Linked DNA regions of Cricetulus griseus. The protein of the gene in region 2 interacts with the protein of the main gene of each other region in a pairwise test. Links are inferred from orthologs where the notes say so. Each region holds a gene or a part of one and is shown on either strand. Other genes may lie near its edges.

What was found.
Region 1: the proteins of myomegalin (region 2) and Snca interact in a two-hybrid assay, tested with the Homo sapiens proteins (2 studies listed by BioGRID and IntAct). The link is inferred for Cricetulus griseus from reciprocal best matches to the Homo sapiens genes PDE4DIP and SNCA.
Region 3: the proteins of myomegalin (region 2) and Tnik interact in a two-hybrid assay, tested with the Homo sapiens proteins (2 studies listed by BioGRID and IntAct). The link is inferred for Cricetulus griseus from reciprocal best matches to the Homo sapiens genes PDE4DIP and TNIK.
Region 4: the proteins of myomegalin (region 2) and CUNH1orf109 interact in binary tests that used the Homo sapiens proteins (3 or more experiments, as listed by UniProt). The two-hybrid records come from large-scale screens. The link is inferred for Cricetulus griseus from reciprocal best matches to the Homo sapiens genes PDE4DIP and AIRIM.
Region 5: the proteins of myomegalin (region 2) and Ccdc146 interact in binary tests that used the Homo sapiens proteins (3 or more experiments, as listed by UniProt). The two-hybrid records come from large-scale screens. The link is inferred for Cricetulus griseus from reciprocal best matches to the Homo sapiens genes PDE4DIP and CCDC146.

Annotation. Positions count from the first base shown.
Region 1 is NC_048601.1:81,930,116-81,934,227, reverse strand, and holds part of Snca (alpha-synuclein), read right to left. Parts: intron 1,304-4,112; coding exon 1,161-1,303; intron 1-1,160. UniProt on the Homo sapiens protein: Neuronal protein that plays several roles in synaptic activity such as regulation of synaptic vesicle trafficking and subsequent neurotransmitter release.
Region 2 is NW_023276806.1:58,761,586-58,765,697, reverse strand, and holds part of myomegalin, read right to left. Parts: coding exon 3,680-4,112; intron 2,866-3,679; coding exon 2,673-2,865; intron 1,625-2,672; coding exon 1,508-1,624; intron 159-1,507; coding exon 1-158. UniProt on the Homo sapiens protein: Functions as an anchor sequestering components of the cAMP-dependent pathway to Golgi and/or centrosomes.
Region 3 is NW_023276806.1:120,727,765-120,732,393, reverse strand, and holds the start of Tnik (TRAF2 and NCK-interacting protein kinase), read left to right. Parts: upstream 1-1,672; 5' UTR 1,673-2,080; coding exon 2,081-2,137; intron 2,138-4,629. UniProt on the Homo sapiens protein: Serine/threonine kinase that acts as an essential activator of the Wnt signaling pathway. Recruited to promoters of Wnt target genes and required to activate their expression. May act by phosphorylating TCF4/TCF7L2.
Region 4 is NC_048595.1:28,111,618-28,114,758, reverse strand, and holds the end of CUNH1orf109 (uncharacterized protein C1orf109 homolog), read left to right. Parts: intron 1-742; coding exon 743-861; intron 862-995; coding exon 996-1,075; 3' UTR 1,076-2,464; downstream 2,465-3,141. UniProt on the Homo sapiens protein: Part of the 55LCC heterohexameric ATPase complex which is chromatin-associated and promotes replisome proteostasis to maintain replication fork progression and genome stability.
Region 5 is NW_023276806.1:173,067,432-173,071,970, forward strand, and holds the start of Ccdc146 (coiled-coil domain-containing protein 146), read left to right. Parts: upstream 1-1,472; 5' UTR 1,473-1,625; intron 1,626-4,539. Other genes in the region: protein FAM185A, read right to left, coding at 786-1,140. UniProt on the Homo sapiens protein: Essential for sperm flagellum biogenesis and male fertility.

The DNA.
Region 1 (4,112 bases), on a different chromosome or scaffold from region 2:
CCCAAACCCACTGGGTTTTATCTCAAATTCTGACTTCAATTTCTGTGTTTATGGCTTCATTTTTATACTAGAATATCTTAAGAACCTACAGTACCCATATGGGAAATATCTGCAAATGTCTCATTTTGTAACATTGGTAAATTTCTGCTTTAGAATATTAAAATAAGGATTGGTATTTTTTAAAGGTACAAAACAAGCCCAAGTTGACATAAAGTGTTTTTAATGACCCATTTGTGATTTATATTGCAAATTTTAAATGCAAGCTAAGTGGGAAATAAATGAGACATGATTCCCAGCCTTTCTATATCCAAAGCAACAAATTCTTCCACTAACTTTAGTATTGCATAATTCAATCTACACATCAGAGGAAGCTGTGTGTTGGATATGGCTAGGGAAGTGACAGTTCAGATAGATGTGTGTAGGGTCATCCAGGTAACTCCAACAGGCTACAGGAAAATGATGCTCACTTCCCCGCTGTGAATTCTGCATTCCTCATTGTAAAATCAAGAAATAGTTTTAAGCTGATGTTCTGTTGATGGCCTTCTTTTTATATTTGTCCTTTAGTACATGATCATGTATTTTTCTGGTAAGAGACTCCATTTTTATACCTAGAATATGTCACTAGAGCCCTTTATTTATCCAGAAGCCAATTTAAAATTCTAGAAATGTAAGAGTCACCATATGAAACCATGATCTGTGTTTGGTATGTACTTTAAGTCTCTCAGTTTTCAAAAGCATATATTTGGTAAGGAATTGATATTTGATATGCAAATATGTCATATAATAAGAGATTGGATCATTACAAAGAAATCAAATAAAAGATCTTCTTTCTGGAAATTTAGGAATTAGACAGAGAAACAAATTGCTATTTCCACAAAGAGGAATTCCAGACCCATCATCCATATGAAAGCAGCCATTCTTTCTGAAATGTCACCAATTCTTCAGCACTTACTGTACTGTTCACTTCTGTAGCTTTCTTTCAGAAATTCAAACAATCAAGGATATTGTACAATGTGCATGACATTTTCCATAGCATGTCAAAATAAGAGCCCTATAAAAGTGCAATCCTTCCCCCCAGTGCGCATCCAATGGCTGCTTTCTGATACCTGTAAGGAATCTTGGTGTACTTGGTTTATCATTGTACAAATCAGCAGCCTTACCTTGCCCAGCTGGTCCTTCTTGACGAAACCAGTGGCAGCAGCAATGTTCCCTGCTCCCTCCACTGTCTTCTGGGCAACTGCTGTCACACCAGTCACCACTGCCCCTCCAACATTTGTCACTTGCTCTTTGGTCTTCTCAGCCACTTAAGAAAATCAAGAGCAACAACATTAAAAGATAGTGGTGTGGCAGACCTTAATTCTGCTTCCAATAGCTGTCAACTTCTACATACACCCATGCCATAGATAGCAAGAGTCTGAAGAAACAAGACACCAAGGGAGAACCAACAGGGTGCAGCCAAACACTGGGTCTGTGTTACAATTATGTATAGACTAGAAAATCTTGAGAGTTTAGTTATAACACAATGCAAACAAGATTTGGTTTGCCTTGAGGCACATAGACAGAAAACAAGGCACTAGGTACAGTATTAAGTTGTCAGACTCTTTGAGCACTATTTCAGTTTCGATGCCAACTATTTGATCTCATTTACAAAGTTCACTTCCATTATCTGCTCAAAGTACATGCCTCTCCCACATCTAGATTCACTGTTTTCTATGTACAAAATTCAAAATGTTCCTAAATCTTTCACTTTCACGTACCACCAATTCGTACCACCAGCAGAAAATTTCAACCATAAACTTTGTTGCATGTTCAGAATTATTCTAAAATAGAATATGAAATTGCCCTCAGATAATATGTACAGGTATATATAGTATAAGTGAATTTCATGTTTAGACTTGCGTCCTATTACCAAGACAACTCATTATAAGTGTGCATTTATCCCCAAATCAAAAATAATTGAAATCTAAAGCAAGTGTTCCTTAAGCACCTCTGATAAGGAGGCCCTATGTGTTCAAACATGCTCCTAGAATGATTTGGAAATAGGTGATAGAAAAAGACATGGTAAAGAAAAAGATAGTTATTTTAAAAGATTATTTTTAATTATGTGTACTTGTGTCTCTTGGGGCAGTTATGTGCACATGTGTGCAGGTGCACAAGGATGCCAGATAGTGTTGTCAGATCCCCTGGGGCTGGAATTACGGGACAATGAAGGTCTCCCAGCATGGGTGCTGAGAACATAATTCTGATCCTATGGAAGAGGAGCAAGTGTTCTTCACACTGAGCTATCCCTCCAGCCAAACAAAAATGTTAAGACAAAATTTCAGTTAATGCAAATCAAATGTATTTCCATTAACTCCATAGTTCCATGCAAGGAGTGAAAGACATGAGAGCCCACTTTTTAAATAATACTAAGTGAAAAAGTAAAAGAACCTGTCTGCACCTGAACCTCTAAATCCTATATCCACAAAGGCAAATGTCTCCCAACTCTCATTCGAATGGATGTCATGTTTGCCTTTCATTTACTCTACAATTTTTTTTTATTTTGCCCCATATATCAGCATTAGGTTGTTGAGTCCCCACTCCTCCTGTGTTTTCTCTCTTGAGCAAAAAAGCATGTTCTTCTTCAGGATCTCCTGAGAAGCCTGTATCCTCGTAGCCTGAGCTGAGGAATCACACCACATCAACTGTTCACATGGTTACTGCACTATACAGATTTCATGTCATCAGCCAGAAAGACAAATAATCCAATAATGTGGACAATGAAAATTAATTCGGAAGGAACAAGTTGTGAAATGAAGTTTAGTTGGCTTGTAAAGTCACAGCTGACCCCTTAGACCAAGCAGTGTGGGGAAGCCTGAAGGTCACTCAGACTGCAACCAGAATTCACATAGGTGACTCTATAGCTGCCTTTCAGGTTTGAGCTAAGTCTGCCTATGGAATCCCTGCCCCTCAGTGTGCTACTTGAAGAGCACTGGATATTCACAGTAATTTTAAAGGCCAGAGCAGAGCTATATTAGAAAAATTGATTTTAAACAGCACTGGAATTATACTGAACTCTGTTTCAGCTTGTTACTTTTTCTTCCAAGAATATGATTTAAAAATTTGCTTGAGATTAACATTTTCTTGTTAAAACATCTCAAAGCAAGACAAAATAGGCTTTGCCTTTTTACATCCTCATGTTTTCTGCCAACCATAAACTTTACTTAATGTGCACACTTCTTTATATAAATATAAACTTTAATCTGTTATTTTTAAAACACAAAAATTGTACAGTAAGTATAATTTATACGTGATTTCCATTTTACTGTTTTATAAAAATAATAAAGAACATTATAAAATGACAGAATATGGTAGTATAATAATAGCTATGGCTAAAAAGATAAAATTATAAACATCTGTAGGAATATATTCTGTCTTTAAGGTTTACAGTTTATCTACTCATTGGCACTGCCTTAAAAAACAAAAGGAAACAAACCTTTTAGTGCTCTGTCTGTTTAATAAATGACTTCTATTTTGTGGTTAAAGATGTTATAATAATGATCAAAAGAGAATTTAGCTACTATCTTAGTTAGGGTTTCTACTGCTGTGATGAAACAGTATGACCGTAAAGCAAGTTGGGGAAGAAAGGGTTTTATTCAGATTATACTTCCACATTGCTGTTCATCACCAAAGGAAGTCAGAACAGGAACTCAAGCAGGGCAGGATCCTGGGGCCAAAAGCTGCTTACTGGCATGCTTGCCCTAGCTTGCTCAGCCTGCTTTCCTATAGATCTCAGGACCAGCAGCCCAGGGGTGGCACCACACACAATGGGCTGGGCTCTCCCCCATTGATCACTAATTGAGAAAACACCTTACAGCTGGATCCGATGGAGGCATTTCCTCAACTAGGCTCCTTCTTCTCTGATGACTCTAGCTTTGTGTCAAGTTGACACATTAAACGAGCCACTGTACCTCCCAATCAATAGATACAGTAGAATTCAAATTGACTTGTGTTTATCCCAATGTGTCAGTCTTGCCCATTTGGAAAGTAGACTTCCATCTGAAGGCTTCTTCTTTTCAAAGCCTTTCTCCTTCTCCACTCCTGTCTATGCAGCTGACTCAGTTTCTATGTTG
Region 2 (4,112 bases):
AGAACTGCCATGCACTTGAAACTCCTCCTGCCTCCCCAGGTTGTTCCCGAAAGGCTTCTTTGCAGGTGGGCTGTCCAGGACGGGGTCCAGATACCCCTGATCAGAGCACAGCCCCTCCAGGAGCATCACAGGCCTTGGGCTATTGTGCTCCTCACACTCTGAAAGAGAGAAAGACATCTTCCTGAAGAAGAGCTGGAGGTGCTGCTGTGGCCACTCCATTGTGGGGAACAGGCTGGTCACAGGATCAAGTGCTGGGGTAAAACCCAGAGCAGTGCTTTCTTTAGGTCGGGCTGTATGTTAGGCACTCATGTTTAGCATTCCTTCCTGAATAGGCCTGTGAGCAAGGTGCAGCCACTTTTCATCTTGTTGGCTGGAGAACCCAAAAGCTCTCCAGGAGGCGGTGAAGGTGGTAAGCTAGCTAGTCACAGACCATGCAGAACACACAGCAGACCCAAACCCTCCTGTGCCCTGTGCCCTTAACACACAAGTCAGTCAGTGCCTCCTAAGTGAGACATTAACAAAGCCTCATAGCTTTAAAATGAGCATAAGGACTACAAAACAACAGTGCTTCTGCAACATCCCGGAACAGTGCTATAACTTAAAATGATTGGGCTAGATCAGACAGTGGTGGCATGCACCTTTAATCCCAGAACTCAGGAGGCAGAGGCAGGCAGATCTCTGAATTAGAGGCCAGCCTTGTCTACAGAGTGAGTTCCAGAACAGGGTCCAAAACTACAGAGAAACCCTGTCTTGAAAAACCAAAACCAAACAAAACAAAATACAAAACAGACAAACAAACAAAAAACCAAAAAATAAACTATTGGATTGTAACAGCAAGAAAAGTAGGCCCAGGAAAACAAGACCTTCCAAATAGATCAGTCAGTATATTACCACAAGCTGTGCCAGGGCGGTGGCAGCCACGATGACAGTCAGTCACCATTTTACTAGTAAAATGTTGGTCAGGGTATTTTACTAGAGTTTATTCATTTCGGTTGATATGAGTACCCAGTGAGTTGGACAATTGCTTTATTGCTGTTTTAGCGGATGGAGAAATTGAGGCACAAAGAAAAACTGGGTTTGCACCAAGCAGTCTGATCTTTGGATATCTGTCCCTGACTGCCCCACTATACTGCCTCAGCTTCAAATCTGTAGGAATTCTGTGGTTCCCAATAGTCCTTTGTGAGTACAAAACCAAAATTTTATTCTAAACTTAAGTTTAGGTATACATCAAAGCCCACATATCAGTTTCCTAATAAAAAAGCATAGGTATTTCTCTATAATAGCAGTTATATTGAATTCTTTTTTATTAGCCGTGTGCTAGAAGCTATAGAAGTTCAAACTGGTTGCCCCATTTTGAAGAGTTCTCCAAAGTTCCTGTCCTTCCCTGGTCCTGGGTCTCCTTCAGTCACAACTCCCCTGCCCCACTGCTCATCATGGGTGGGAGTGGCCTCAGGCGTCCAAATGCAGCATTTGACTCTAGAGAGAGAAAGGGGCCCTGTGTGCTTACCGGGGCTGGTGGTCTCGTCACGGTCAGCTTCATTCTCACTCCGGCCACAAGTCTCGTAGCCCAGGTCTTGAAGGTCCACCTGGATTTGCTTGCTGTCCTGTTTCACCAGGGATTCACCTGTGTTTGGGAAGAGACAGTGGGTGGAATAGGGTCCCACATGTTACCCCAACCTCAACGGCACATACCCTAGCCTGTAAGGCCAAGAAGTCAGAGCCAGGCTGGGGAAGAGGTTTTCTTGGACCCTGATGGGAGAAGATACAGCCTGTTATAGTTTATAGGCACCCTCCCCACCTGGGTGAGCCCATGGTTGCCATGGAGAGGCTCTCTTCTGAAAACTGAGGCTTAGTTGAGACTAGACATGGACAAGTCAGGAGTTACATGTTGCTGTGTCAGGAAGCTCCACTGAAATCATTAGGCCCTGTGTCTATAAGGTCTTAGTTTCAATGGAGCTGAGGTGATTAAGAGTCTTGAGACATCTAGCCCTGCCCTGTCCAATAAGGTAGCACTTACCTACCTATGATTATTCTTTATCAAACTAACCAAATTCAGCTTGCTAAGTTCATGCAGCACTGTCCCTGGGTTAAGTATTGATTCTAGAGCAACAGGGATGCTGGGATTTTGAAGAATCTGTTACGGTGCAAAGGAGGGGAAACATAACACACAGAGAACCAAGTCAGCTAACTGACAGCCCTGGAAATCAGCAAGTACAGACGTTAATCTGTTTCAGCCCTTTATTTTTCAACCTAGATTTAAAGATGTGTTTATCTTTACTTCACATGTAATGAATGTTTTGCCTGTGTGTACATATGTGCACTGTGTGCATAGCTAGAGGCCAGAAGAGAGTGTTGGATGCCCTGACCTGTAGTCACAGAGGGTTGTGAGACACCTGGTGGGTTCTGAGAACAAAACTGGGGTCTTCTGCAAGAGAAGCAAGTGTTCTAAAGTACTGAGCCACCCCCAGCCCCATCGCTGTAATGTTAAAACCTTGTTTTCTTCCTTTATTCATTACATCCATGTACAGGTTGGAGTAAAATATTCACACACAGTTCTATAACTATAGTCGTGGCTGAAGTGTTTACAGGTTGGGGTAGAAAGATAAAAGCTGAGAAACAGGTGACTTCATGGGGAGAGGACACTTTGATGACCATAAGTTGGTGACACTCACTGAATATGGCCCTGTACTTCTCCAGCTGGTTTGCCTGGGCAAACACAGTGGCTTCTGAGATGAGTAGCTTCTCCTGGAGGTCTTGATACCGTTGTCTGCACTGAGCCAGCTGGGAACGCAGGTGTTTGGTGGACCCTGATAGGCTAAATTCTGGCTGGTGTCCAGAGTCTTGGGCCTGGGGTTTGTTCTCCAGCTGTGAAAGGACCCAGTACAAGTATTAGGTTACCCTCTATGTGTGACAGCCACCTCTCTGTCTCTGAACACTGTGGACTGCATGCATTACGTGCTTGCCACAGCAGTTCTCAGGCCATTTGGCAGTTCTCTATCTTCCAGGCAGCTCCCGGGCAGCTGGGATAATGTTACATTTATGTTTCTCTCTGCAGCACTGCAGCACAGTGCCAGTCAAGTTTCTAGAACAGCCTGTAGTAAACATTTACACAATCGCTTGCAAGGAAGATGTGGAAATCTCCACTCCATCCTCTCTGCATTTCTGTCCCTGGAGCCCTTCTCAGAATTCTCTATTTCACCAAATCTAAGGCAAAGTTCCTTCCCTCAGAAGGGTATCAGTGACCTCTCACGAGGCCATCACACAGACACTCCAGAACCTCCGAGGAAGCAGCAGTGGTAAGAAGATAGCATTGCACACCATTGGTCTGGCCTCCATCAAGACCCAGAGCATCCCAATAGTATGGCAGTCACATCCAACAAGAAGTCAGTGTCTGAACATTCTCCTCCACATGCTGAGCACCTGGAGGGCAGACATCAACTCATAACCCACATCCAACGCAGTGTGTAACTAGGAATTAAATGCTCAGAAACACCCATTCAATGGTATGGAACCCTTTCTAATAATGCCGAATGGATGCCTCCAATTACAGAGCCCTGCTTGCAGCATCAAAGTACACCCCCCCTCAGTACTTCCTGACCCACGTGGCAGAACAGTGTAACACAAAAACTGAAACCTTGGCCCTTCTTTGGGTTTCTCACCTTACCCTGCCCTCACTTACTTGGTGGGTGTCCACTGAGAGGGCTGCCCCGAGATTGAGGCTCTGGGGTCTGGGGCCAGGCCTTGTGGTCACATTCTCCTGCTCTTGGTGTCGATTCTTCCCAGGGGAAGGCAGGCCTGTGTTCATCCTGTCCACCTCCCTGGCCAGGCGCACGAGGAGCTCTGGCATCACCTTGCTGCTCCCCTCAGAGTTGCTCAGGACCAGCTGTTCTTTGAGGATGTTGATGATGTTGTGGGCACTCTTCAGCTTCCCCTGGACCTTTCTGAACTCAGCCTGAAGGCTGCTCTCATCCACACCCCCTTTGTCGGCCACAGTCTCCACCATCACCTCGCCCTTCTCCTTGTCTTCCTCGACCTCCCATCCATCAGACATTGCTTCTCCCATCTGCTCTTTCAGCTCTGCATTCTCAAGGCAAAGGCTCAGCATGGTGTTC
Region 3 (4,629 bases), about 62 Mb from region 2:
ACACAAGGGGAACACAACAGTGGTGGGGAAAGATGGCTTTTATGCCTTTCCCTCATAGTGGCTTAAGGGTCAGCACCCATTACATAAGCTGAATGGCTTCATTAGAGAATTCATAATAAATAGAGTCCTTCAAATATTTTAAAACATTAAAAAAGTTTCAGCATATAGGCTTTAGAGGCACAGCTCCCAGACCACTGCTGACATGTGTATATGCCCTGGGAACAGCATTCCAGCGTCATGGGTCGTTCTATAGGGCATTTGATTCACCAGAGTGATCCCAGACTGAAACAAGTCAGGCCAACACTAACAGCATTAGCATGTGTTCACTCATTCACTCAGCTAACATATTCCGAAGTTTACACGTCATGATTTAAGAAGTAGCAGCAGCCCAGGTGTTGGTGTACACTTGTAATCCAAGCACTTGGGAAGTGTTTGCAGGAGGATGAGTTCAAGGCCACCCTTAGCTCCACAGTGAATTAGAAGCCACGCTAAAGTACATGAGGTCCTTCCCCCACCCCCAAAGAAAGCAAAACAAAAAGCAAAGTAAAAACCCAAACCCGCAATGCAATGCACTTGTTCTCTTGTCTTAGATGTGAAAGGAACACCCTAGGAGCTATTGATGAAGGGAATGGAGAGAGTTCAGTATTAATGTCTTCTTCAAACGTATTTTGCGTGGCCAAACCAGGAGAGAGGAAGGTCTGTGGGGGCTGGGGAAGTGATTTCACATTTTTGATAACAGAAAGTCCTGTTACCACTGCAAACACCCAGCGTTTGAGTTAAAAAGCAGGTGAAGTCAAATTGCTAACATGTCAGCTCTTCCTCTCTCTGAGCTAAACTTTCCCCATCAATCCTGGTAGGTCACCAGGGAAAAGCAGCAGAGAAGGAAACGCTGGCTTTGGCGGCGGAGTGTCGCCCAATTAATGTCGTTCTGGGAGTCACCTGAAGCCTTCCAGCTACTGCACCCAAGGAGCAAGCTTTGCTTTTCAATTCGGTCATTTCCATGGGGAATTGCGGTACGCGCAGGTCTTGGGTGTGGCGATGTCGAGACGGAGCTCACATCTCCAGGCTTTCCACCTTCTGGCCAACCCACCCAGCTGAGAAAACTACGGATGAAACGGACCTGCCTTCCTGAAACTCAGGGACCGCGAAGGACCGAGACCAGGCGGCCACTGCCCAGCGCCAAAGCCAGGCTGCGCGCTCCGCGCGTGTAAGCTTCTCCCCAACCCGCTCTGTGCGGGGAGGCGGATCCCCTTTCCTGCGCACAAGTCCTTATATGCACCGGTTGCACCGGCCCGCCTTTACTCCAGCCCCACAAATAATTAATGGAGGAGGCTGGACGCTGCTGTCTTTTCCCGCTGCCTTTCCTCACCACCCTTTACACTATTAGAGCATCTGAATCCAGTCAAGAAACCCCAAGATGCGATCGAAGGGCCATTTTGGTGCATTGCACAAATTGGACACATTAAAAAATAGCCTTCGGATCTCTGTACAGCGAGGTTCAAGATCTGCTCTTCGATTCAGCACTATTAACCCGCAAAAACTGGGACGGAAAGGGTGCGCGCCCCTCCCCCACCCAGGCTAGTGCAGAGGGACCCGGTCAGGAAGCGCGGCCTCTCCCCAGTCGGAGACCACGCCTCCTCCCCCCCACTCCTCCCAGGAAGCGGTGATAGACAGTTCTGTGTGGTTCTCCACCCCCACCCCCCCAGCTGAGTGGAGGAGTTGATATGTCTCATTATAACAGCCAATGCAGCCGCCATCCACGCACAAGCAAAGAAGCATGTCCCATTTAAATACACCCACGCAGCCCCAGCGCCCTTAGCCGATCAGGGCGCGCAGCCCACACGCACCGCGGCTCCGGGCTTGGAGATCCGCGCAGGTCGGGCTCCGGGATCCCGCGGATCGACACTCTCGGAAGATCGGGATCTCACTCTGGTTGGGGCCCGGGTGGGCGGGGGAGGCTGGGCCCCGGGCCTCTCTGGCGGACAGCCGCATGAGGACGCGAGCGACATAGACCAGGGTGGAATTGCCAAGGCAGACGTTTCTGGCTGGTTTTGGTCCATTTCTCCCGCGAAGAGTCGACATGGCGAGCGACTCCCCAGCTCGCAGCCTGGATGAAATCGATCTCTCCGCCCTGAGGGTGAGCAGAACGTGGTTTTTTTTTTTTTTTTTTTTTTTTTTTTTTTTTTTTTTTTTTTTTTTTTTTTGTGTGTGTGTGTGTGTGTGTGTGTGTGTATGTTTGTTTGTTTTCCCCCCTTTCTTTTCAATGGTCTGGGGCTGGGCGAGGGAACGTTCCCGGTCTTCCTATCCTGATTCCAGGGCAGCGGATGGGGTTCTAGGCTGAGCCCCTACCCTACAGCAGGGGCTGGGCTGCCCTTGTGCTCCTCGACTGTGCTTCCCGAGGCTCCGCAGGGAAGCCGGTGGAGCTTATGTCAGTTTCATCTTCGATTGGTGTAAGAGAATTACATGGAAGGAGTGTGTGTGTGTGTGTGTGTGTGTGTGTGTGTGTGTGTGTGTGTGTGTGTGTGTGTGTGTGTGTGTGTGTGTGTGTGTACCCGAGCAACTGTCTCTTGCCAAGGCTCGAGACCCGACTGCTCTTTGCTGCAAAAAGAATTTCCTCAAGAATAAAGGCACTGGCCTCTCAGGTTTGCCAGCTACCTGCAAGATGCCATCGTGAGTCTAGCTGTCTCCACCAGCCGACCCTGTCGCTCCAAGGGGGCAGTAATTGCTGTTCCGGGCTGGTCTAGTAGATGGCAACTGACCCCTCCCGGGTTCTGCCTCTGGTGCGGGGGCTCAGGCTCAGCGCTTCCCTCGACGCCAGGGTGCACTCACCTTTATCTGCGGTTTGAACTCAGCCCTGCCTATGCCTTTCTAACTCGGTGACTGTGACCTTTCAGTTTTATGGCTGAACTTCAGCAGGTGAAAGGGACGCTTTAGCAGCTTCTCCCTACCACACCGGAACTCCCTGGAGAGACTGTGTGTGCGTGTGTGTGTGTGTGTGTGTGTGTGTGTGTGTGTGTGTGTGTGTGTGTGTGTGTGGTTCCCGGGTCTGTGACCAGTCCTTTGTAGAACACCTTCCCTTCCCCCAACTCTGCCGCTTTGCCTTTACCTTCTTCCGAGACACCTCAGACGTCGTTCCATTGTATTGAATAAGACTTTAGTGATCTAGAATCCATTTTGCTGTTGTTTGGAGATCATACTGCCAGGAACCCCATTGCAGCTTCGACGCTTCCCCACCCCCACCCCTAATCCCAGCACACTCCTTCGGGGAAGGGAGCCCAGCGTTCTTGCCATTTTAATTAGATGCTGCCTGCCAGGAAGGGGGTAAGGAGGGGTGGTGATGGTGGCAGCAGCAGGGATCTGAGAAAGATTGGACACCAATCTCAGTACGACTAGTTTCTTCCTCTCCTGAACTAAAAATAAAATAAAGAGCAAATGCATATGCTTGTTGCCAGTAGGGTAGGTGAGACTGAAGGGATGGTGGCTCATGTCACCGACTGTCAGTATAGGTGGAAGTTGAGTGATCTTCCTGAACACATTGTTAGATTGATGATGCTTAATCTCGAGGCCATTTACCTGTGTCTCGGAAGCTTTTCCTGCAGTTACCTCTTTCTCTACAGACATTTTTAAAAGGTAGCTACCTGTCTGATTGAAGTGATACTTTTTCCTTAGGCTCAGAGCCACTTTTCCGCCCACACCTTGAATCCTTGGCCCTTTCCTTATCTTTTGGTCCAGAAAGGTGGAGGATTCAGAGAGGCAGGCTGAGGACTGACTGACTGCCCTTTGAAACCGGCTGCGGGCTGCAGTGATAGTGGAGCAGCAAAAGCTCATTCATGCATGATTACAGTAGGCTGTCCGTTCCTCTAGTGCCCAAAGGCCACATCCGCAACCAGGGGGCAACTGAGTGTGGGGGTGGGGCTCAGAGTGGGTGCTTTGGGCCAGTGCATGTGTGACTCTCTTATCACTGTGCTCTCTTTTGCTCCACTTCTGCCTGGACCAGTGGCCCAGACTTGGGGAAGGAGGAGTGGCCAAGTGGTAGCTGCCTGAACAATGAGCCAGGCTTGTGATTTAGCTGAGACAGAATCTTAGCATCATTCTCCCTGACATGATTTTTAAGTTGGGGGGCGGGTGTATGGCTCCTGTGGGCCAGATTTTCTGAGATGCCTAGCGCACAGAACCTGTCCTCAGGGCTACTAGATTCTCATTCAGGGAGACCTGTGTCCTGTAATCTGTATTTGGAACAGGTATCTTTGCATGATTCACTAGGATTGCTCTTTGTCACCTGGGAAGCTCAAAGGATCCTCTGCCTTCACTGGGGTATGCAAAGAGCTAGGACAACAGCTACTCCCTGTGCCTGGGAGCTGATGGCTGAAAGACTTCTGCAGATGGGCAGACAGTTGTACTCAGCAGGCCTTGGAGCTTCAGGCAGTCTTGTGGTGGGTGAGGCGTGCAGGTACGTTTGCCTCCCAGGGCTAGTGGCTGGGCCACACACATCAGAGAGGAGATGCTGGCTGGCTCCCCAGATTTGGAGATGTTGGTTCCTAAGCTTGCTAAAGCCTGTAAGCGAACACCTCCTGAGGAAAAGCCTGACCCCTGAAATGCAGGCAAGGTCAGTGAGTCAGCCTGCCAACC
Region 4 (3,141 bases), on a different chromosome or scaffold from region 2:
GGGCTCAGAATCCCTACCTTGTCCTCCACTGCTGCCTTTATACTGGCTGAAGCCACCTTTCAACTACTTTCTACTTTAGCCAACCGTGTCAGGACACTGGGAGGCTTGCAGTGCCAGTCCACTCCATGCTTCCTCTGCCCTGTGCCTTTGTTTCTCTGTTTCTTCCAGTGGTGTGTTCATCTGAACTGCCAGACTTTTGTTTTTGTGTTTGTTACCATTTTGATTTCTCTAAATAGTGCTGGGATTAAAGGCGTGGGCCTCTACAGCTGACTAGAACTGCCACTGAGTTGTTTTGTTTTGTTATTTTTTTAATAATGTATTTACTTTTATTTTATGTGCATTGGTGTTTTGCCTGCATGTATGTCTGTGTATTTTGCCGGCATGTATGTCTTAATAACCATGTATGTCTCAGATCTTGAAGTTACAGATAGCTGTTAGCTGCCATGTGGGTGCTGGGAACTTGTGTTCTCTGTTAGAGCAGTCGATGCTTTTAACCACTGAGCCATCACTCCAGTCCCCTGTCACTGAGTTTTATCTTTCAAGTCACTTTGCTCTTCTGTCTGGTCCACCCTCAGCCTGTGAGATCCGAGTCCCTTTCCTAGTAGCATCAAGTTGTACTGCGGTACTGGTGCTCATCATTCCTCTTGGCACTGGTGAACCCTGCCCACCTGGGAAGGTATATTGATGTCACTTTTAGCTTCCCAGATTTCCTTTTTTTGAACAGTCCTTAACTTCTGGGAAGGTACCTGAAGAGAAAATACCTCCTTTCCTCCATCCACTGGGGAGACTTGGCCAGCATCCAAGCACTGCCTAAGGCCTGGAACCAAATTTCAGAAGATGAGTGCCAAACCCTTGTGCCAGGTACTGGTTTCCATTAGTTCCCCATGCTGCCTCCCTATCCCTGTTGCTGCTTGCCTCTTTGGAGGTGTTAGAGACAACCCTGCTGTGCTTTGGGGCCTTAATAACCCTGTCTTGTACCCCTCTTCCTGTTCTAGATATCCTGGTGAGCGTCTCCTTCTTCCTGGAGGAGCCAGGATGCTGCACAGTGTCTGGAGATCAGGAGTCCCGCAGTTGAGTGCAGCCCTCAGCTTTCTAAGTGAACCTCAGCACCACAGCCTGATGGACTGAGACACCAGTTCCTATGGTAGAGGTCCCTAGCATGACTTCTTGCTAGGCCATGGCCAAGGATCCATGACCACTGCACCTGCGGCTCTGGGAGGTGGATGGGGTGGAGGAAACAGGAAAGGCAGCGCTGATAAGCGGTGTCCATCGCTATCAGTAGGCTTGAAGTGGCAAGGAAGGAAAGGACAGGAGGCAAAGGTCCACAGCTGCCTCCGCCTCTGCGTCAGCTGAAGCACTTTGGTTGACTCAGGTCTTGGTTATGTGTGTATCACTATCTTGAGTCCTTAGTGGTTTAAAGATAGGAGTGGGTCTAGGAGTGAAGGGCAGTAGCAGTGTGTGTGTTGCACACATGAAGCCCGATTCAATCCAAAAAAGGGACGGATTGAAGGAAAGGGAGCATTTAAAATGTTTATCCCTTCCCAGTAGGAATCAAGCCAATTTCCATTTCCAAAGCCAGCCACCAGGGGGAGATGGTGCAGCGTGAGCGGTTCTGAATGCTTTGTCCTGGAGAGGTCCCCTGTTGCTGTTAAAAGTAACTGAGGGGGGCTGGAGAGATGGCTCAGCAATTAAGAACACTGGCTGCTTTTGAGGACCCACATGGCAGCTCACAACTGTCTGTAACACCAGCTCCAGGGGATCTGACACCTTCACACCAATGCACATAAAAGAAATAAGTTAAATAAAGTTAAAAAAAAAAAAGTAACTTAGTGCTGGGAATATCAAACCCACCACTGGTGAGGCAAATACAGGTGAGCTCTGTGATTTTGAGATCATCCTGGTCTACATAGCCTCCAGACTAACCAAGACTACATACTGAGGTGCTGTCTCAAAAAAAAAAAAAAAAAAAAAAAAAAAGGAAAAAAAAAGGAAAAAGAAAAGCGGGAAAGAAAGAAGTTAACTGAGAAGAGTGATACTACTACTCAGATCCAGGGTTGTGACCTCTCATTGGCTATATTCTTCTGGGTTTGGAGTGACTGCTCAGGTAGGCAAATATGCCAGCTGATTAGTTGGCATATGCCATTGATTGTTAGTTGTGATTGATTGTTTGACCTGGGGAGGGAGTCTCAACAAGGAATGTTGTAGATTTGGGTGGCCTGCAGGCAAGCCTGCAGAATTTTCTTAATTGTGGTGAAAAGAGCCATCCTGAATGTGGTGTCATTTCATGGCTGGGCCCTAGATGGAATGAGAGAGCAGGCTGAGCACTAGCAGACATGCATTAATCCATTGTTCTTTACCATGGGTGTCATGTGACCAGCTGCTCCAAGTGCTTGCAGCCTTGATGTTTCTGCAATGATGGACTGTACCCTCAAATTATGAGCCTAATAAACCCTTTCTCCCTTCAGTTGCACTTGTCTGTGTTTTAGGGTTCTCTAAAGGAACAGAACTGATAGAATACATACATATATATGGGGGGGAAGAGAGGGAGGGAGGGGGATATTGGAGTGAGAGGGAGGGCAGGCAAGCCTAATGCAAAAGCTTTCTTCTTCCATGTGCTTTTATGTGGTCCAGACTTGGGATGGGTCTTCCCACCTCAAATGATCCAGATTTAGGGTGGGTCTTCCCACCCCTAATGATCCAGTCAAGAAAATCCCTCACAGACATGCCCAGTTGCGTGGGTTTTGGGTTTTAGTTGATTCCAGCTGTGGTCAAGTTGACAGCCAAGATTGGCCATCATACACAGTAACAGGAAATAAGCTGAGAAGCAGCCTTGAGTCATTGATCAGAGCCATACTCACCCTCTGTGCAGTGGCCACTTGCCTTGGGATCCCAGCTGGTAGAAGTCAAGGCTGCCATGAACAGGACTTAATACAGAGGATGGATACATTTAAAAAGAAAGTGGCTTTGTTTAGTTTTGTTTGAAACAGATACTTAATGGTGTTTGGTAATAACTTACTTAAATAGAATTGTTCTTTTTTTCTTCACTCTTTTGTTTATTTGTTTTTTGTTTTTCCCACAGGGTTTCAGGGTTTCTCTGTAGCTTTGGAATCTGTCCTGGAACTCACTCTGTAGACCAGGCTG
Region 5 (4,539 bases), about 110 Mb from region 2:
GTATCAAGCTGCTAAAAATGAGTGAATGAATGAGGCATTGTGAAATTTACTTTCTAGCTGCCTTGCCGCCTTAAATGCAAAGAAATGAGGCTAGGATTTGAGCTGACTGGAATGGCTCAGCCTTTATGCTCTGTTGCTTCTCACCTGACTAGCCTAGATGACTAAGAGGCTGTGCCTTCCACATGTACTAATCTGAAGGTGCTGAGGGGGCTTTACCACAATACAGATTAAGGTGGTGTCTTAAGAGTTTCTGTCCTGTGAAGACACCATGACCACAGAAACTCTTATAACGGAAAACATTTAATTGGGTGGCTTATGGTTCAGAGGTTCAGTCCATTATCATCATGGAGGGACATTTCAGCTGCAAACAGATGGTGCTGGGGAGGGAGCTGAGAGTTCTACATCTTATGCAGGCAACAAGTAGTCTGTCTTACTGGGAGTCGCTTGAGCATAGGAGACCTCAAAGCCCACCCTCCACAGTGACACACTTCTTCCAACAAGGCCACTCCTCCCATTAGTGCCACTCCCTTTGGGGGCCATTTTCTTTCAAACCATCACAGGTGGGTGTCAATGGAGAGCTAAACAAAACTTAAAACAGCACCTGTGAAAATTGATGCCACCCCTGCTGTCAATCCCAATCTCATCGTTACTTCTAACCAGAAGCCTGCTTCTGGTTACTGTCTCCATGCCTCTACTCCGTAGGTCTCCAAATCTATATAGTTAACTTATTATTTGTTCCATGAAGTTGGAAAGCAGGAATCCTAACCAGTTTTCACTGCACTTGCCAAACCTGAGGGGCGCGTCCACCTCCACCAAGGCCCGGGGGTCGATGTCGTCCGACAGGACGGCCACCTCCCGCCGAGCGGCGTCGTACTCCACCTGCAGGCCGCGCGCCCCGCGCTCTGCACCGCGCACCGCCACCCGCACGCGCTCGCCGTCCGGGTGCGCCAGGGGATCCAGGGCCCTGACGAGCAGGTGGCAGGGGAGCCGCGTCCTCAGCCGCCAGAACGGGCTCACCCGCAGCGTCCACTGCATCAGCGCCGGGTCTCCGGGCGCCGAGCCCTGCCGCGCCCCGTGCGAGCCCCGGAAGAGGACGCTCGCCCGCCCGCGGAGGGCGCCCGGCAAGAGGCGGCCCCACATGCCCGCTCCGCAGCGCGGGACCAACAAGGCCTCCTCGCCACCGAGATAGAGGCCCGAAGGCTGTAAAGCAAACCCGGTGACAAGTGACAACTTCAAAGTACCACTGGTTAAAACCCTGACCCTGCTCTTCCTCTATTGCCGCCCTTGGTCGGAGGCCGCCGGGATATGTAGTTCTAAAGGTAGCGGATATCCAAGTGCTCCAGGGGCCTTGGAACTACATATCCCAGGAGACAGTGCGCCGGAGAGATAGAGTGACACGAGCTGATTGGTGGAAAAGCCTAGCCGTTGCTCCAATCTCATTGGCCCAAGAGACCCACGGACCAATGGAAAGAGCGGAAGGGCCAGGCTGCACAAGCGGCGCGGCTACCTTGGATACCAAGGACGCGACTCGTTTGGAGAGTGTGGAGTTTGGAGTGAGATTCCCAGGGACTAAAACCCGCGCAGAAAAATAAGAGTCTGAATAAGGACCAGAACCAAGAGAAAGGGTAAGAACGGCGTGTTCACAGACGGGAAGTAGACGCAGAGCTGCCCCCTGTAGGCTGGGCCCCCTCCTCCTCTGCCCTGTAAGGGAACTTCCTCTTGCCTAGAAAGTACTGGATAGAAAAGAGAGCTGGGCTCCTGGCTCTGTCCTAACTGTAAGCAACCTTAAGCCACTCATTCGGTGCCTTTAGGTTTTACTATTTTCTTGTAGAATGACGGCAACAGTATCTCCCTTGCCTTGTGTGGGAGGGTTTTTACAAGGATCCATTGAAACTACAGTTGACAAAGTAGTGCACAGTCTACAAAACGAGTAAAGTGGTGTTTTAGGAATAGCATTGTTTCTAAATTGCTGGGAAATTTTGAGGCATTTGGTCTCGTTTAGATTTTTTTCTTTTTTAATTTTTTTAATTTTAATTAGAAAGATTAGTTTACATGTCAATTTCAGTTCCCTCTCTCTCCCATCCTCTCCTGTCCCCCCAACTAACACCCTACCTATCCTAAACCCTTTCTGCTCCCCAAGGAGGGTGAGGCCTTCCATGGGGGGCGTCTTCAGAGTCTGTGGTAGCCTTTGGGATAGGGCCTACGCCCACCCCCTTGTGTCTAGGCTCAGGGAGTATCCCTCCATGTGGAATGGGCTCCCAAAGTCCATTCCTATGCTAGGGCTAAATACTGATCCATTACAAGGGGCCCCATAGATTTCCAAGGTCTCCTCACTGACACCCTCATTCAGGGGGTCTGGATCAGTCCCATGCTGGTTTCCCAGCTATCAGTCTGGGGACCAAGAGCTCTCCCTTGTTCAGGTCAGCTGTTTTATAGATCTCTTTCACTACAAATGATCCTCGGGGTTAGTGGTAAAAAACTAAAAGTTTTTTTTTCCCATAAGACTTGTGAGGGGAAAGTCTTTTTTCCTGGCCCTATTGGTTTATCTGTGTCACAGGGACCTGGTCCTTCATTTTTGAGGTAAAGATAGAATGTACTAAATAACTCTATAAGGCTTCTTTCCTTCTTTATTATTAAGTAGGCAGTAAAAATAAGGAAAGTGTGGGGTGCAGCCATTATTTCACCCTTGCTTGCCTAGCCTCTCCCACTCTCTACAAACAATTCCCTAAATTCCTTAAGTATAGATAGATAAGTTTGATAGAATGCCAGTCCTATGTATCGGTGTTCACTTTTAATCCTCCAGAATTTGGAAAGCTGAAGCTGAGGATCTCAAATCTGAGGTCACCCTGCACTACATAAAGGGAACTCTGTCTCAAAAAATAAAATAAAATGGTGCCTTTAAAGACAGAAGCCCTCAGCCAAAATGAGGACCCCAAATCTTGGGACCTGAAGTAACAGAGAGATTGGTAGACTGATCTAAAGTCTTCAGCAGTGTCTGTATTATTCCTTTAGTGAAGATTATGGTAGCCTCGGTGCAGCAGCCCAGACCTGCTTCCAGCAGCCCAAGAAGTCCTCTTACCCTTGGGGACTTCCACTGAGGCGAAGCCCTTCCTTGGCTTTACTGCAAAAATTAATGTTGGAATTAGCTAGTATGAAAGAGTTGGAGTTGATTTAAAAAAGAGAGATTTTAAACATAGATTTATGAAGCATAGGGGTTGACAGAGATGATCACTCAGGGAAAATAAGACATGCTCAAGAACACAGGTGTAGGCTTTTCAAAGACATTATACCCTCAAGTGTCTTAGCAGGAGCTCTGGAGAGTCACTCTTTTGGTGGTTCTCAAGTTACGCCTTGAAAGATTTCTTAGAAAGGATTTTAAAACCTTTTCTCTCTTTTTTTCTCAATAAGTTATATTATTGGATGGTTCTAGAGGTGTCCTAGACTGGATTACTGTCCAAAAATAAAACCACGTGTCATAAGAATGGTAGAAGAGGGTATTAACTGTAAGAGGTATTTACTGTAGATAGGGTTTCTGGTGAGATTCCTAGAAAATTGCTGGTTTATAGCTGAGAAAGAAGAAAGGCCTCTTGTGTTTAGGTCTTGGGCGTGATCCATTGCTACTTCAACATTCTAATTTGGAGATATCTCTATATAAAAGAAATGTTACCTTTCTATTGGCACCCTTCATAAATAATGTTGTAACTTCGTTAGAATTCATGATTTCAGCTGACGAGAGGCACTGGTAGCACTCTGAGATGAAGGTTCCTTTCCTTCCCATGTCTCCATCATTTCTGTGGTTCTAGCCTGCCTCTGGAAGATATAAAATACATTTTATGCTAAGCAAGAGCCTGCTCTATGAATAATGTCCTTAGCTTTGTGTTTTATGTGGACATAATTATCAGATTAGTTTTCAAATTATCTTTTTATGAAAACCCATAGGCATATTTTTGAAAAAGTGAAAATGGCACAAGCAAGTTGACGATGAATTCAGATTACTTGTATGATTGCTACATATAGTAAATAAAATGCATCCATAATAAATTATCCTGTTTCTATAGTAATTTTCCCATTCTGAGAAAAATTAAATTAATAGAATTGCCAACTGAGCCCTAATGGCATATGTAATACTATCATTATTTCATTACTTTCAAATAAAGGAACTAAAACTTATTGAAAATTACATTTCTGGTTTCATGAGGTTGAGAACTGAGACTCTGATCGATATTAAAGTTACCAACACCTAACATGTATATATCACATGTAAATAGTGACTAACAAATACCATTTTCAAAACATGCTTATGTGCATTGTCTCCCTATATCCTCACAAAACACTGTTAAGAAGGATAGCTGTTACTCTCCAAGAGTGACATGTAAGGAGACAGATTTAGAAACAGAAGGTGAAGCCAATATGATCCAGAAATTGTGGGTTTGGGCGACGAAAGCATAAAATTATGAATGTACAAGAATTTTTGTCTTATAGGGCTACTTGTAGTTAGAAATAATCTAATGCTCTAAATGCTCCCAAATAAGAAAGTGA